Linked DNA regions of Astyanax mexicanus. The protein of the gene in region 2 purifies or fractionates together with the protein of the main gene of each other region. This does not show direct contact. Links are inferred from orthologs where the notes say so. Each region holds a gene or a part of one and is shown on either strand. Other genes may lie near its edges.

Region 1 (7,834 bases), on a different chromosome or scaffold from region 2:
AATGTACATGGTAAAGGCAACTAAAATTAAGTAGCCATACCTGACTCGTTCTTCACAACTAAATGTGGTGGTAAGGGGCCATTTGGTGGGAGACTTCCAAACCCACCACCTTCTGAACTGCTGCAATCAGGTACATCTGGAACACTGGCCTGGTAACAGGAGGGATGACATCAAAATATATAAATATATTAAAGAATAGGAATTGAGACACCTATATAGTCTTAACAGCATTTACAAATGCAATTTTTTTGCCAATTTTTAAGTTATTTTACATTGCCAAGTGTAATGACAACATTTATTTCAACTTTATTAATGCAAATATTCAGCAGTAACACCGACATTAGTGCTTGGCTGTATGACCAAAAATGTATATCACAGTATTTTTCAAGATTCTGACGATTTAACAAATAAATTAAATTCTGTGTACATTATCATCATTCTTCAAGCTGCAGTATTATTATATTTAAAATGGCTATATTAACAGTTCTTGAAGCTTTTTTTTCCACCTCATATCCAAAGTTTTAGGGAGTTTTATCACTTGTGCTGAATAAATTATTCTGTACCCACAACCGATTTTGGGCTCCTCTGGGGGACGAGAGAAACTTTTTTCCAAGCTGTGGATCGGTTGCTCAATTCCATTCCTCTCTTTTTTGAGTAAATAATTGCTGTTTGCTGTTGTTTTCTTATTTTACTCAGACAAAAACACTGCTATTGCAAGGAACAGCAACAGGAGCTCCTTAGATAAAGTGCTGTTCTCATGTTTTTCCAGAGAGGACAGAGCGTTTGACTCGACAGAGCTGAGCTACCATTAACCCAGTGTGTTAGCTTGTTATGCTAACTGGCTAGGTTAGTTAGCGGGTCGTATCTGCTTTTTTGCCAGTGCCTAGTGGTATGTAAAAAGCGCATATCGGCAAACCAGTATACTGTCCAGCACAAACTGACATGGTTAACAAAATCATACTTACCCCTAAAGCAGGGACTTCAGAAGCACTCATCTCACCAATACGGACAAGATAATTCACAAAGTCCCTGGCAGCATTAGACTGGGCATCTTTCTTGTTGGTGGAGTTTCCCATTCCAGTGTAATTAAAACCATCAACACGTACCTAAATGAGGCACAAAAAAAAGAGAAAAAAAAAATGTTGATCTTTGAAACATTCTAAACGTGTAATCTCATTACATTATCATTATGTCCGTAGCATAAAATGCTTTTTATAGTTTAACAATTATTTCTGAGACAATATAATTCACAATATAATTATGGTGACAGGCCTGCAAGAGAATAGACATAATAAGTATTAAGTACAGAGTTGCTATAACAGTCAATGTGTAACAGGTATCGTGTAGTTTACCTCACACAGGAACTTTTGTCTGTTTTTATTCCCAGCTGCTCGTATGTCATAGTTTGGTGTTAATTTTTTCTTTCCGCACCAGGCATACAGATAGTTTTTGATGTCTGCCATTGTTGAGAGTCCCCCTGGAAACATACAAAAGATATCATTTTAGATATCATTCACAAAACTTAGATAAACTATGCTGTCTGGAAAAAAATAAATGACACCTCCTACAAATAGGTAGGAACTTCCCAATGGATAATTACTACATGGGTGATTATGTCAGTAGGTTCTTATTTGTTGAACAACCGTGGTTATGCAGTGGTCCCAATCTCTTATCATCAATACAAGATCTTCTGGAAAAACAAATGCAACTCAAATAAACAAATAGTAAATGTTGTGACATTACAGAAGTTTGTGGAAAGATACCAAAAGTTTGGACATGTTATCATACAATGTTTTTCTTTACTTCTGTATTTCATTTATTTTTTACATTGTAGATTAATATTAAATACATGAAAACATTTAAGGGACATATATGGAATTACGAAGTAATTAAAAAACGTGTCTTCCACAATCCCCTGACCAAAACCTGATGAACTGAGATGGTGATTTGAGGTGATTTGGGATGAGCTGGAGCTTCACAGCCAGCGTGAAGGAAAAGCAGCAACTATTGTGCAGCAACTATTGTTCAGCACCTCTAGGAACTCCTTTAAGACGCTAAAAAAAACTATTCCAGATGACTCTCCCTCATGAAGTAGCTGAGATTAAAATTCCAAGAGTGTGCAGATCTGTCTTAAATTTTATAAATAAAAAATAAATCATAAATTTGATACTTAGGAGAATCTAAAGTATAAAACATTTTATAGTTGTTTAACACTATTTGTTTACAAAATAATTTTGCAGGCGTTCCAGTATAGCTTTAATACAGTTTTTAATATTAATTTTTCAATGTACAAAAAAAAAAAACGAACTGAATGAGAAAAGGTCTCGAAACTTTTAGCTAGGTCTTAACCAGCTAACGTTAGGTTAACTACGTTAGCTAGCCTAGCGTAGCTAGAACATCTCAGCCAGATACGTTTGGGTTTGCTAGCTTAGCTAGTTAACTAGCTAGTAAGATTAATGGTGTTCTGTCGATTTAGGGTAAAGCTGCCCAAATGAAGGATACTTCCATTGGCTAAACAAAAATCACAAAAAATGATTTAAATCACTTATCAGGAGAAATTGTCTTGAAAAAAAACTCACATAAAAACGTTAACATTTCTAAATCGATGTATGCGCAGAACAGAAAGTAACACATTTTGATGGGTAAAAGAACTCGACAAAACACCGGCTAACATAATAGCAGTATATAACTCAAAACCACAGCACTGTACTGTACTAACTGCAGAAATAGCACGATGATGAAGTCGCGCAATATAGGTTAACTAATACTTGCAGGACCACCAGTAAATAAACAATAAAAACATCATTAACTAACACTAGCTAGGTAACTGTATAAGAAAGAACAGCGCTTGCTAAAGAGCTAAAGCTAACCACAGAACACAGTGCAGACAGACGGAGTGTACTGTACTGTTTACGGTGCTGGCAATACTCAACACGCAGTCAGAACTAGTTCCGCCGGATAACTCACCTCCTCAGCAGGTATCTTGCTGAAACACAGAGCGGAAAATTAACACAAAATAGCTGAGAAAGGTCGCTAATCTCAGCGCTGCGGTGCAGGGCGCAGCGTCGTCAGCGGGCCAGACATGCGCAGTACAGCTCCACTTTGTAATGAGAAACATAGTACGCATGCGCAGTAAAAATTCCTGGCTAGATCAGTAAAAGGCTGCGAGCCACTAGAGGAAGCCCGCGATAGAGAACCCATATTAAATAGAGTGAATTAATTTATGAGATTAAAACTGATATAAACTTTTCAATCTGAATTTTGAAGCTATATCTAAATTCAATTTACTTAACATTTACCAAGATGGATTCACATATTTGAATTTTTGTTTTTGATTAGATTTTTGTGTTTTAAACTAACTTCTGAGGAGGTAAAATTTGCTGTTGAAAAAAAAAACAATGTGAATTAATTAATTAATTATTGAATAATTTAAAAAAATCTATATCCATACATTTTCAGATAAAAAAAATCAGTTTTTTTTTCTGATTTTAAAAAGATCCACTTTTATTTTTTTTTCTAATTGAAATCTCAGTCACTCAAGTTTACTTTTTCCTGGGGACCCTGGGTGTTTGAGCTATGGATTAAATTCTTAATTCTGAATTTTGAATCAGATAGATCTTAAATTTTAAAAATAAAAATAAATATTTCACGTTGATTAAAGGTCAAGTAAACCAAATTCAGATATACAAAATTTAGACGTGAATTATGTCATCCTTTAAGCTCCATATGAATGAAGCTAGATTGCTAAAAGTCTTATTTAAAATAGAAACTATTTAAACTTTTAGTTTCTAGTCACATTTTTTTAGACTAGTTAATTATTATAATTTCTATAATTTGATGTACAAGCTCAGTATACATTACTGTAAAAACTCTTATTTGAGATATCAGCTTTAAATGTTTTACTAGTGATAATATCATATCTATGGATCTATACATTTATTCTTACTAGTTATACTTTATGTTACAATTAATTTACATGGTCTCAGAGCTTTATGCTAGACATATTACTACATTTAATTATTATTCATTATTTACTAGAAAAAAAAATACTAGAAATACAGTTACAGATATCTATAATATCTATAGTAAAAATACTATAATAGAATAGAATAATCTGATATTCCTATAATTAAACGTTTAGAACATGTAAACAATTATTATTATTATTATTATTATTATTATTATTATTATTATTATTATTATTATTATTATTATTATTATTTCTACAATGCAAGAACACAGTACAGGCTATAATATTAGAATATAAACGTATATAAGCATGTAATATGTGTTGGTAAGACTGCAGGTGTGCCGCTGGTTTTAATATTCAGTTAATTTAGTTGAACCTGATTTGCTGGCTGATCTGGAGGACTTTAGTTAGTTAAGGTTTATAGTTACCAGGGGGATCTCAGCTTTAAACCTACAGAAACTGGAGAACAGGTAGCCCAGATTACTAGTTAGCTACCAAATAACCAAAAAATAATAATTAGCTACTTGTTTAGGGAAAAAGGCGAATTTCTGCGCCGCCTACTTTTTTCTATAAAGTTTTTTTTATAGCTAAAAGCTAAAAAACTAATGCTAGGTTCGCTAAACTGATCATCAAAATCATTAAGTGGCTTAGCTAATATTGTTTCAAATAAAGAACATTTTATTGGGTATCTATAATCTCCTAACTGCCTGAATTTATGTTTCTTGGTGAGTTGGATAACCTGTGGTGTCGTATTTCTGAATATTATAGTTAGCTAGGTGATCAGGTAGGTTACCTAGTGCCTGACGTTAGCTGGCTAACTAGTTAGGAGAACTGGCTAGGCTGGTTAGCTTTAGGTTACCTAGTGAACGAGCGTTAGCCTAGCTAGCTAGCGTTGCTAAATTACCTCAGCTTAGCCAACAGCGGTGCTTGGCGGCTAAGGGCGACACTGCTGAACATTTTTTAGTCAATTTTATGAAATAATTGGTGGATTTAAACATGTCTAAGGGAGAGTGGGGTTAGATGAGCCAGTTTTTACTTAGTAAAAGTGAGTTTAAAGGAAGGCCATGACTGTTATGCTTCCAACTAAAATATATATATAAGTTATTATTATAGCTCATTATTTTATTATATAAACTACGGACAACATTTCTCCCAAATTCCAAATAAAAAAAAAATTATAGCATTTATTTGCAGAAAATGCGAAATGCCTGAAATAACAAAAAAAGATGCAGAGCTTTTAGACCCCAAAAATGCAAAGAAAAAGAGTTCAGAAATCAATATTTGGCGAATAACCCTGGTTTTTAATTACAGTTTTCATGCATCTTGGCATGTTCTCCTCTCAAGCAGTTCAGATGGCTTGTGATTATCAATTGCTTAATGCATCATCCTATTAAAAAAATTGATTTTAATGTTTTTTATATACTGACAAGGGTGGTAAACTTTATTTTTCCACAGCATGTTAAATTTACTTTGTACAGGAGTATTTATTAGGTATTACTAATGTGGAATTAACTTTAGCCATGACTACATCAGATAAATCAGATAAATAATAAGATACCACAGCTACAGTTATTTACATATCCATTTTTATGTCATCTACTTAATTAAAAGGAAAAATAAGCTGGGTACTTGATTTGAGTTAACAAATATCTGTTTTACAAAGGATCTAGATAGTTGTATTAAATGAATACATGTTTGTATAATGCATTGACATTTATAAAGTTGAAAAGTAATTTCAGAATCTATGAAACAAAGCTCTTACCTTGCCGATACAGTTTAATATTGTCTGTCATTATGGTTATTTGATTATATTTAATCAGATGTAGGTTTGTTAAAACTGTAAGAACTCATAACTCTTATTATAGTTTATTTGTATTGTTGGTTCTTAAATGGATGTTTACCTATTTGATATTAAACTATTAAAAATGATTATGAGTGCTTAAGTACTGTGTGTACTTAATTGACGTTTCTGTTGTATTTTCTAAGGTGCTAGGGGAAGAAGGCTGTGTTTGTCATCTTCACCAAGACATTAAGATGGAAAGCCCAAAGATAGCTAATCTTCTGGCCCTAATGGATAAAACAGGTTACGGTATGGTTCAAGAAAATGGTCAACGGAAATTTGGGGGTCCACCACCAGGTAAGAATTTAATGATTTTTAGTAACCTAAAAAATAAAAATAAATAAATAAAACCTCTTGATGTGGGATTAAGAACAGGAGTTAGCTCGTTTGCACCTGTGGTTAAATGTTGAGTTACTAGCCTTTGCTTTCAAATGCAATATATTAATATGTATAACATTCCTAAAATATTTTTTACTATTCAAATGTCTCATATGAACAAAAATATGATTCTGTGTTCTAGACTGGGAAGGTCCCCCTCCTCCGAGAGGCTGTGAGATTTTTGTGGGGAAAATTCCCAGGGACATGTATGAAGACGAGCTGGTGCCTTTGTTTGAACGTGCAGGTTGTATCTATGAGTTCCGCTTGATGATGGAGTTTAGCGGGGAAAACCGTGGCTATGCCTTTGTCAGGTACACCACTCCAGAAGCTGCGCAGCAAGCCATTTATCTGCTTGACCACTATGAGATCCGTCCCGGGAAGTTTATAGGAGTGTGTGTGAGTCTAAACAACTGTCGGCTCTTCATTGGGTCCATTCCAAAAGACATGAAGAAGGAGGAGATACAAGAGGAAATGATGAAGGTCAGTGATTTAGAAGTTAGGAGAGAGAGCTTTGGTTTTATTTATCTATGGTAAATATGCAATCATGTATGGATTATAGTTCATTGTTTAAAGTTAAAATGTTACCCATCATAATTTTGGAGAAAACAGAGTTTTAGTTCAGTACTTGAAAACCACAAGCCATTCTATTTTTTCTCTATTCCATTTTTTTAAAAAGAGGATTACCAGATCCTACAATCTTGTATGTTTTTGGGTACATGCTTTATTGCCACTAATGATGCACTGTAATGGAAATTTGTCTGCCTGAACATGTCTGAAATTGAACAAAATACCTAATTCCCTTTTTATAGGTTTATATGTATATGTTTTGCCACTATTCTCAAAAGGCTAAATTTATTTTATAGATACTTTTCAGAAAAAAGATAATTAAAACGCTTTAACATCCTAGCAGAGACACTTTGATGTCTTTTCTGAAAGTAAAGCAATCTAAAGGAAACACTGCAATATGACCTACAATAAATGAGCTATTGTTTGCTATAAATTATTCAGTACTTTTAGTTTTAGTTTTGGTTGCCAGTATTTGGTGCATTAATATTTACCTCTATTTGTTTGTTTGTCATATCTCACATCGATCTCCTGTAAAGTGCTTTGTAAGCTTCTTTGAGTGTAATAAATAGAAAGTGGGCTTCGTTTTTTTGCCTCATTAGCTTTCCGAAAATACAGATTTAAGCAAGATAAATCTTAACTTGCTATAGATAAACAATGTCATGTAAAACAGAACAGTTTAAGGTGAATATTTTCATTTCAGCTGTTAGCTTGAAAACTTGCACTGGACTTATTGCGAAGGGGGGTGTTTAAGAGATTTGATGGTTTTAGTAAAAAACTACTGTACAATTTGGCTGTACAATGATTTAATATCAGTATATATCACAATATCAAATATTTCAATAAAGGTGATATGATTTGTAAAAACATTTCCGATATTTCAGTATGCATTTTTACTGCATATAGTCATGAATTGATGCTCATTACAGGGCACATTACAATTTCAAATGATTTTTTTTGTTTGTTTATAGTGATATTGGAATTGCAATTTAGCATTTAACATTAAGAAATATTTATTATAATATACTTGTTGTCAATTTCGCCCATTCCTACTGAAGATAGGAATGTTTATGAAAACAATG
Region 2 (7,248 bases):
AAATTGCTGAAGTGGAAACAGCTCTTATAAATAAATTAACAAACACGAAAGCGAAGAGTATTCTATCTGTAATTTCAGTTCCTTTTAGTTAGTTTTATAAACACAAAACACATTTTCAATTAGTTATGTTTTTTTCTTTTAATTACTGTTTTTCTTAGTTTTAGTTAACAAAAATGTTTTTTTCACTTTTAGCTTTTTTCGTTTGTTTTCGTTAACAATAATACTTGATTACTTTGCTATATTGTGATTATCACTCCATAGCTTTATATAAAATAAAAATAGCATTCAAAGCAGATGCCTATGTCACAGACTATTTTCTGGAACCCGACCTGACCTGGACCGAGGCAAGTGGTGGGAAATCTCAGTTCGGGCAGAGAATCTAAGCTCTACCTCACACCAAGCTTCTCCCTCCACCCATCCTCACACTCTTCTATAGAGGGACCATTGAGAGCATCCTGAGCAGCTGCATCACTGCCTGGTTTGGGACCTGCACCGTCTCTGACCGCAAGACCCTCCAGCGTATTGTGAGGACAGCTGAGAGGATCACCGGCGTCTCTCTCCCCTCCATCACGGACATTTACACCACCCGCAGCATCCGCAAAGCAACCAGCATTGTGAATGACCCCACCCATCCTTCACACAGACTGTTCTCCCTCCTGCCTTCGGGAAGAAGGTACCGCAGCATCCGGTCCAGCACGACCAGATTCTGCAACAGCTTCTACCCCCAAGCCATCAGACTCCTCAACTGCAGAGACTGAACTGATGGTTTTTCTGTACATGCACACACACTCTTACCCCACTTACCCCAGAAAATGGAAAGCACTAAAAACCCTACTACCTCACTGGACTCTATTGCACACTGTGTAATAGAGGTAATTACTACCTCACTGGTCTTTTTTGCACACTTTTTGCACACTGCATAATTTGCACACTGTCTTGTTATTTATTATTCTTTGTTTGTATTGTGTTGTATTGTCTGTCTGCACTTTTGTACTGTTGCACTATTTCTGTCTACACTGTGTTTATGTGCACCATGGTCCCTGGAGGAACGTTGTTTCGTTTCACTGTGTACTCTGTATATAGCTGAAATGACAATAAAAACCACTTTGACCACTTTGACTTTGACTTTGACTTTTTCAGACCAAACTCTGTCAGACCAAAAAGCCTTGGACAAAACTCCCACAGAACAAACTCTCTTAAATCAAACTCAATCAGACCAAACTCCATTGGATCATATAGCCTTGGATTTTTTCTTGAACTGATTTTCCTGAGGCCTCAATTTCCTATCAGAAGTGTCATATGTATGTGATAGGTTGAGCTTAATGTGGCGGGGGAGCGAGCGGTAGGACTTAATAAAAATAATTAATTTACCTAAACTATGTAAATACCTTAGTTACCCTTACACCAGTGCAGCCAACTACGCCACTTTGGGAATTGCACCCAAAGAAATTTAACACTTCAGGTTCGTGGGTACCAGAAAGTACAAAGACAAGGATTTCAATTAACCAAAAAGATTTTATTAATCAAAATAGGCTTATAAAAAATAAAATAAAACAATAGATAGATAGACAGATAGATAGACAGATAGATAGACAGATAGATAGACAGATAGATAGACAGATACACACGGCTGCAAAACAGAGAAAATTTTAATATTAATATCACCAGAACCACTCAATGCTCAAAAACACATTAAAATCAACCACAGGTCATTTGAGTTAAGAAATTACAAAGAAGCTCATTTTAATTGTTGTAGGGCTGAAGCTCACCAGGTGGGGGCCAAAATTTAACTAAAAAAAAATATCAAAATCACAACAAAAGTCACCCGTGCCAGAAAATAAATCAAATCCCAACCAGTAAAGCAAAGTGAAAATAATACTTAAATCTCCCCTCCTGGATCCCTCATGCACCTACTCCACAACTACCAAATAAAATCAGAAATATAAAAAGGACCACAATACAATGGCTCAAAATACAGTTTAGATTGGATTAACTATTGCACACAGCAAACAATTTACAGAGGAAGCATCAGTGCACAAAAATAACAATGCATACACCACAGGTGTAATATAGTTGCACTGATAGTAGACGGAGTTTTATAAACAAATAGTAAGTAAGTAAGAGTAGAGCTTTTCAGCTATAAAACAGTGTGCATGAGCACAAGCTGCAGTCCGATAATTCAGCACAGAATGATATAGGTTCCCACCACAGTTAGCAACACACTTAAGAGAATAAAAGTGTCTTAGAGCTTCATTAAACTTCGCTGGAGGCAAAACGGCAGCTTATTTCACCGTTACAGGATGCTATCTTCATGCAACAGCCAGTAATCACACCAGATCGGCTGGACCCGCTAAATTAAAAACACAGAAGGCATAAATATAAAGTTTAAACCCATTTTACTACCCCCTGACTAGATAAGCGGTTCGTATACTTACAGAGCTGATGAAAATGCCGTCAGGCAGCGTTACAATTGGTCAGACGCCAACAATTCCCACTGAGGAGTTAAACTGAAACCAAAACAAACAGTAACTCACGGGTACAGCGCTATACTACCAAATTACGCTGCATATACGGAGCATTTACCTGAGAACTGGGATAAGCCAGACTCGAGTGCAGTTTCAGAGGATGAGACAGCAACAAAACGCTCTAAATAAAACAAATAAATTAACTAAACGCCGACTTACACGTGCGTTTCTCCCTCACACACAAAGCCAAACATACCTCTGAGCCACGCGGTGAAGCGGAAGGGGGAGGGGGGAACCCAAGGCAGACGCTGCAGCATGCAAAAAGAAGCCCTTTTATAGGAGCCCCAAATAACTAACTCACATCAACCACCCGGTAATCATAATTCTAAAATATTTAAATTAATACTACCAAACATTAACAAAAAAAGGTACCCCCAAATTATTATTATTATTATTATTATTATTATTATTATTATTATTATTATTATTATTAGAAATAATTAGTCCTGCCACATTAAGCTTATATTAAACAGTCAGAAGTCCAACACCTTGTAGTGAAACTGGCTCTGGTACTGTCACCACTGATTCACAGAAGTTATGCGGTGACTACAGCGCCCCCTCTGCAATCCTGGCTTCATAAGAGTGTTTGTACTGACTGAAATCACCCATGTGGTTCCTTACATGCCTAACATGAAGTGGCACAAATAAAATAAATATGATAACCTGGTGCTTAAACGTTCCCTTGGATTCAGCTCCACTGCTGTGGAAGCTCACCTCTCCACTGTATGTGATGCGACAATAAATCTGATTTGATTTGATTTATGTATGATTTATTGTATAATTAATATAATTAATGCCTATATAGTTTTTCATGAGAATATTTCTAAATGTATTTTGATGTATGTATTTATTTGTTTATTTATTCTTTTTCACTCATTTATTTCTGCTTTTTTTCCTCCATATGATAATTAAGGGGCGTGTTTTTCATGTTCAGTCTTAGCAATCAACATCAGAGAGAGGGAGAAGATGAGTAGAAGAATCCGGGAGCTCAAATGTGGGCGGCGAAGCTGCTCGCCTCAATGAAATTGCAGTATTGCAGTACTGCAATCTAAAGGATCGCTATTAAATAATCGTTCTATTATTTAATTCACCAAATAGCCATGTTTAGAAGAAGTTCTCAAGTGCTGCTAGGCAAATACAAGTAAATTATAAACTGAATTAGTTTTATGGAAGATCAAAGGAACTTGGTAAACTCTGGTCTTTCTAGGAATTTTTGTCATTAATTTATAAGTAGTCCGACAAGAGGAAGATGTGTCCCCCTTATGAGTCTTTGTTCCTCCCAAGTTTTTTTCTCCCATCTCTAAGGGAGTTATCCGTGTCACTGTTAGTCACTGGGGCTTCTATGTTGTATGTTTTATGTTTAGCTTGGTTCTTCATTCTGCTACTGGTATGTTTGAATATATGCATGGTTTTGTATGGGAGGAGACGCGTGGTTTTGTTGCACCTGTATTCAGACAAATCCCGCCTTCCATCACTGTGATTAGCTGAAATTGTCGGCGGGTCGCTCTGAGTCTGAATAAGTGACCAATCCGAACGAAGGATGGGCGGTGCGGTTCCTGAATACGGGTGTGAATGGAAAAATCCCCCTGTACAGAAAAGCGGCGGAGTGTTGAGTTTCATTCTCAGAGCTGAAGCGACTGCAGAGTGAAACACGTGGAACCAGCCTGAGCACACTGCAGACTTTACAGCAGTTTATTCGGGTTTTTTCGTGTTTCGACGAAACACCACGCAGTCATGGTGAAGCTGGCGAAGGTGAGTGTTATAACTAGTATTCTAATTTAATTTAATATGTATGTAAATATAGTATTGTTGTTTCTGGTAGCTAACCATAATAAAACGTGGTGAATAAATGAGGTACTCAGTTTGGCGTATCATAACTAACTAGTTATCTGACTTATCCAGCTAACCCAACTAACATCTTATTCAAGCGCTTATTAATTAACTAGCTAAGCTTTTTACCTTAAATATGATGTAGGGTTGTTTATCGGTGATATGTAAGAATAGAATGTGCGTGGTGTATATTTTAAAATGGGTGCTTGATAAATCTTGTAGTTACAGTGTGCAAAATGGAGGCTGGAGGGCTGAAATGGCCTTCCCCTCAGTCTGCTGTTAACTCACGTTTTTATCATTAGCAATTTAATTCTCATATTTGGGGCTTTTGGTTTTATATGGGTAGCTATAGAAAGGTTTTTAATACTGTTTAACAGCGTCTGTAATGTGTGTTAATCTAGTTTAATAGCATATACAGCCTTTAGCTACAGTGTGGCGGAGCTGCACGCAGCTGTGCTGAGATTAGTTAGCTTAGTTTAGCAAGGCGAGCTAAACTGAAAGACGCCAGCTAGCATTAGCCACGTGCTAGCCGCAGATTACCCGTGTTTATCTATTTTATTCTTGCTTATTTGGGACGCAATTTATATAAGATTAAGAGCAATAAATTATATATAAAAAACAAGAGTAAAATTCCTAATCTAGTTTTCCTGGAAATTCGTTAAGCTAGGTAACTAGTTGGTGTATTCGAAAACGTGCAGAATACAGTTAGCTTTTCACAGCGTAGCATAGCCGTCCAGGAAAGGCCGCATTGAGTTAGCCAAGCTAGGCTAATTTAGCTGTAGCACTTGGGTTAGCTTAGCATCGTTAGCTTCAGCACGAGGCCGCGCGCTGGCGCTCCCCACGTGGGTTCGTCCTCCTCACACGTGGCTTTTAGACCCGTCCATTCTGCTTATTAGCGAGTCTTGAGCTTAGTTTTTGGACTAAATAAGGTCGTAGTTATTGTTCTTGCTTATAATAAAGCTAGATAAGCTATATATTTACTTTACATGCACGCTTATATATATTTTTAAGTTGTTTTTCTGTCTGTCCAGGATCTAGCTACCTATAAAAATAATTAGTTAACTGGTCCTGTACTAAAGTAGCCCTGCTTCAGTGACCCATTTTGTCGCCCTTTGTGTAAAATGTAAAAAAATATATATGAACAAGGACGTTATTGTACATTTAAGGACGATTCCTATCATTATTCTCATTTAAACTATGGGGCAAAGTATGTATATATAAAAGAATGAATAAATAAAAGCACAGTGATCCTCATTTTCTACAGAAGCTGAATAAGATTGTTTCTGTTACAAGTTGGACCAACATCAGCAGATGACATGGCTCACCAAACCATAACTGACACATATTTGAAAATCAAGGGTCCAGAGTCTGAAGGAGGTGTGGAGAGGCGCACAGTCCAAGCTACTTGAGGTCTGGTGTGAAGTTTACACAATAAGTGATTGTTTTGAGAGCCATGTCATCTGCTGGTGTTTGTCGACTGTTATATCAAGTCCAAAATCAGTGCAGAATGAAATATAAATGTATGGGGTGAAGTATGTATTAAAAGAATGAATGAATGAATGAATGCATAAAACAGCACAGTGTGATCCTCGTTTTCTACAGAAACTGTATAAGATAACTTTTTATTAAATGAGTAACATTTTAAGATTAAATCAATTATGTCAATACCAACAAAGTATAGGCTTCAAGTCTTATTTTCTACACACATTTAAGTTACTTTACTTTTATTTTAGAGCACATGTCCTTGTACCCTTCTTGATTTAGACAGCAATTCCTCATTCTCAGCAGGAACATAAATGACACTTCTGCATGTTTTGGGGCACATCTTTTAGTCTCGCATAGTATAGTAAATCTTCTTTTCCTTCACAGGAACATGACTGTCTTTTTATGTGTTTCAGCACGATTCATAGTAAATGTTTTTGCGATATGTTTTTGCGATAATGACCTTCTTAGCAGTGTGACAAAACGTTGCCTTTTTAAATATTCGTTTATGAATATGCTGCTACAACCAAACAAATATCAAAACATAATTTGTTATACATATAATAATTTCTCATTCAGTAGGAACCAAAAAAAAACTATAAATGTCTATTTTGTAAAAACACACAACAAATGTTTCACAAAACAAAAGCAGTATATTTGGTTCATGTAAACTGCTAACAATTAAGTTAATACAGAAAAAAACTAATATAAAATGGAGTGCTTTTTAAAAATATTGATATGATGGTGCACACTTCTAATTTCTAATCCTTTAGTAAAGTTACCACTTTAAATAGGTGATTTTACTGAATCTCATTTTTACTCACTTCCTCATCTTTTCTGCACAATTTTGTATTTTTTTTGGCACTTTGATTAACCTTTTCTTCCATGTGCCTCCATTCCATAATGTTTTGCAGGCAGCTAAAAAAGAAGTGCCACAGAAGAAAAAGGCACCCCCACCCCCAAAAGAAGTTGAAGAGTCCAGTGAGGAGGAGGACAGTGATGAAGATGAGGAAGAGGTAAGGTCTTATTTTTAAGTTACTTTTTGTTTAAATATTTTTTATTGGCTTGATTATTATTATTTATTATTATTATTATTATTATTATTATATTTTAATTTTATTTTTTTTGCTACAGGCACCACCAGTCAAAGCAGTTGCCAAGAAACCTGTAGCAACTCCAGCAAAGGCAGTAAAAAACGGTAAAGTTGTTGCCAAGGAAGAAAGTGAGGATGATGATGACGACGACGAAGATGATGATGATGATGATGATGAAGAGTCTGGTTAGTGTTTTTACGTGAATGATTGATTTGCTTAACGATACTTGCATGATTGTAAGAAATTATCCAGTAATCTCTGCAGAAGCGTAAAGTTTGTCATCATTTGTGCTAATGCTATATATATATATATATATA

What was found. Proteins that work in one complex are often made in the same cells at the same time.
Region 1: the proteins of ncl (region 2) and dhx9 purify together in Homo sapiens (affinity purification with western blotting; 3 studies listed by BioGRID, with this or other methods). This does not show direct contact. The link is inferred for Astyanax mexicanus from reciprocal best matches to the Homo sapiens genes NCL and DHX9.

Annotation. Positions count from the first base shown.
Region 1 is NC_064415.1:50,994,951-51,002,784, reverse strand, and holds the start of dhx9 (ATP-dependent RNA helicase A), read right to left. Parts: upstream 3,115-7,834; 5' UTR 2,968-3,114; intron 1,478-2,967; 5' UTR 1,464-1,477; coding exon 1,353-1,463; intron 1,107-1,352; coding exon 966-1,106; intron 150-965; coding exon 41-149; intron 1-40. Other genes in the region: probable RNA-binding protein 46, read left to right, coding at 6,005-6,107, 6,331-6,668. UniProt on the Homo sapiens protein: Multifunctional ATP-dependent nucleic acid helicase that unwinds DNA and RNA in a 3' to 5' direction and that plays important roles in many processes, such as DNA replication, transcriptional activation, post-transcriptional RNA regulation, mRNA translation and RNA-mediated gene silencing.
Region 2 is NC_064423.1:26,065,051-26,072,298, forward strand, and holds the start of ncl (nucleolin), read left to right. Parts: upstream 1-4,133; 5' UTR 4,134-4,259; coding exon 4,260-4,277; intron 4,278-6,751; coding exon 6,752-6,853; intron 6,854-6,971; coding exon 6,972-7,116; intron 7,117-7,248. UniProt on the Homo sapiens protein: Nucleolin is the major nucleolar protein of growing eukaryotic cells. It is found associated with intranucleolar chromatin and pre-ribosomal particles. It induces chromatin decondensation by binding to histone H1.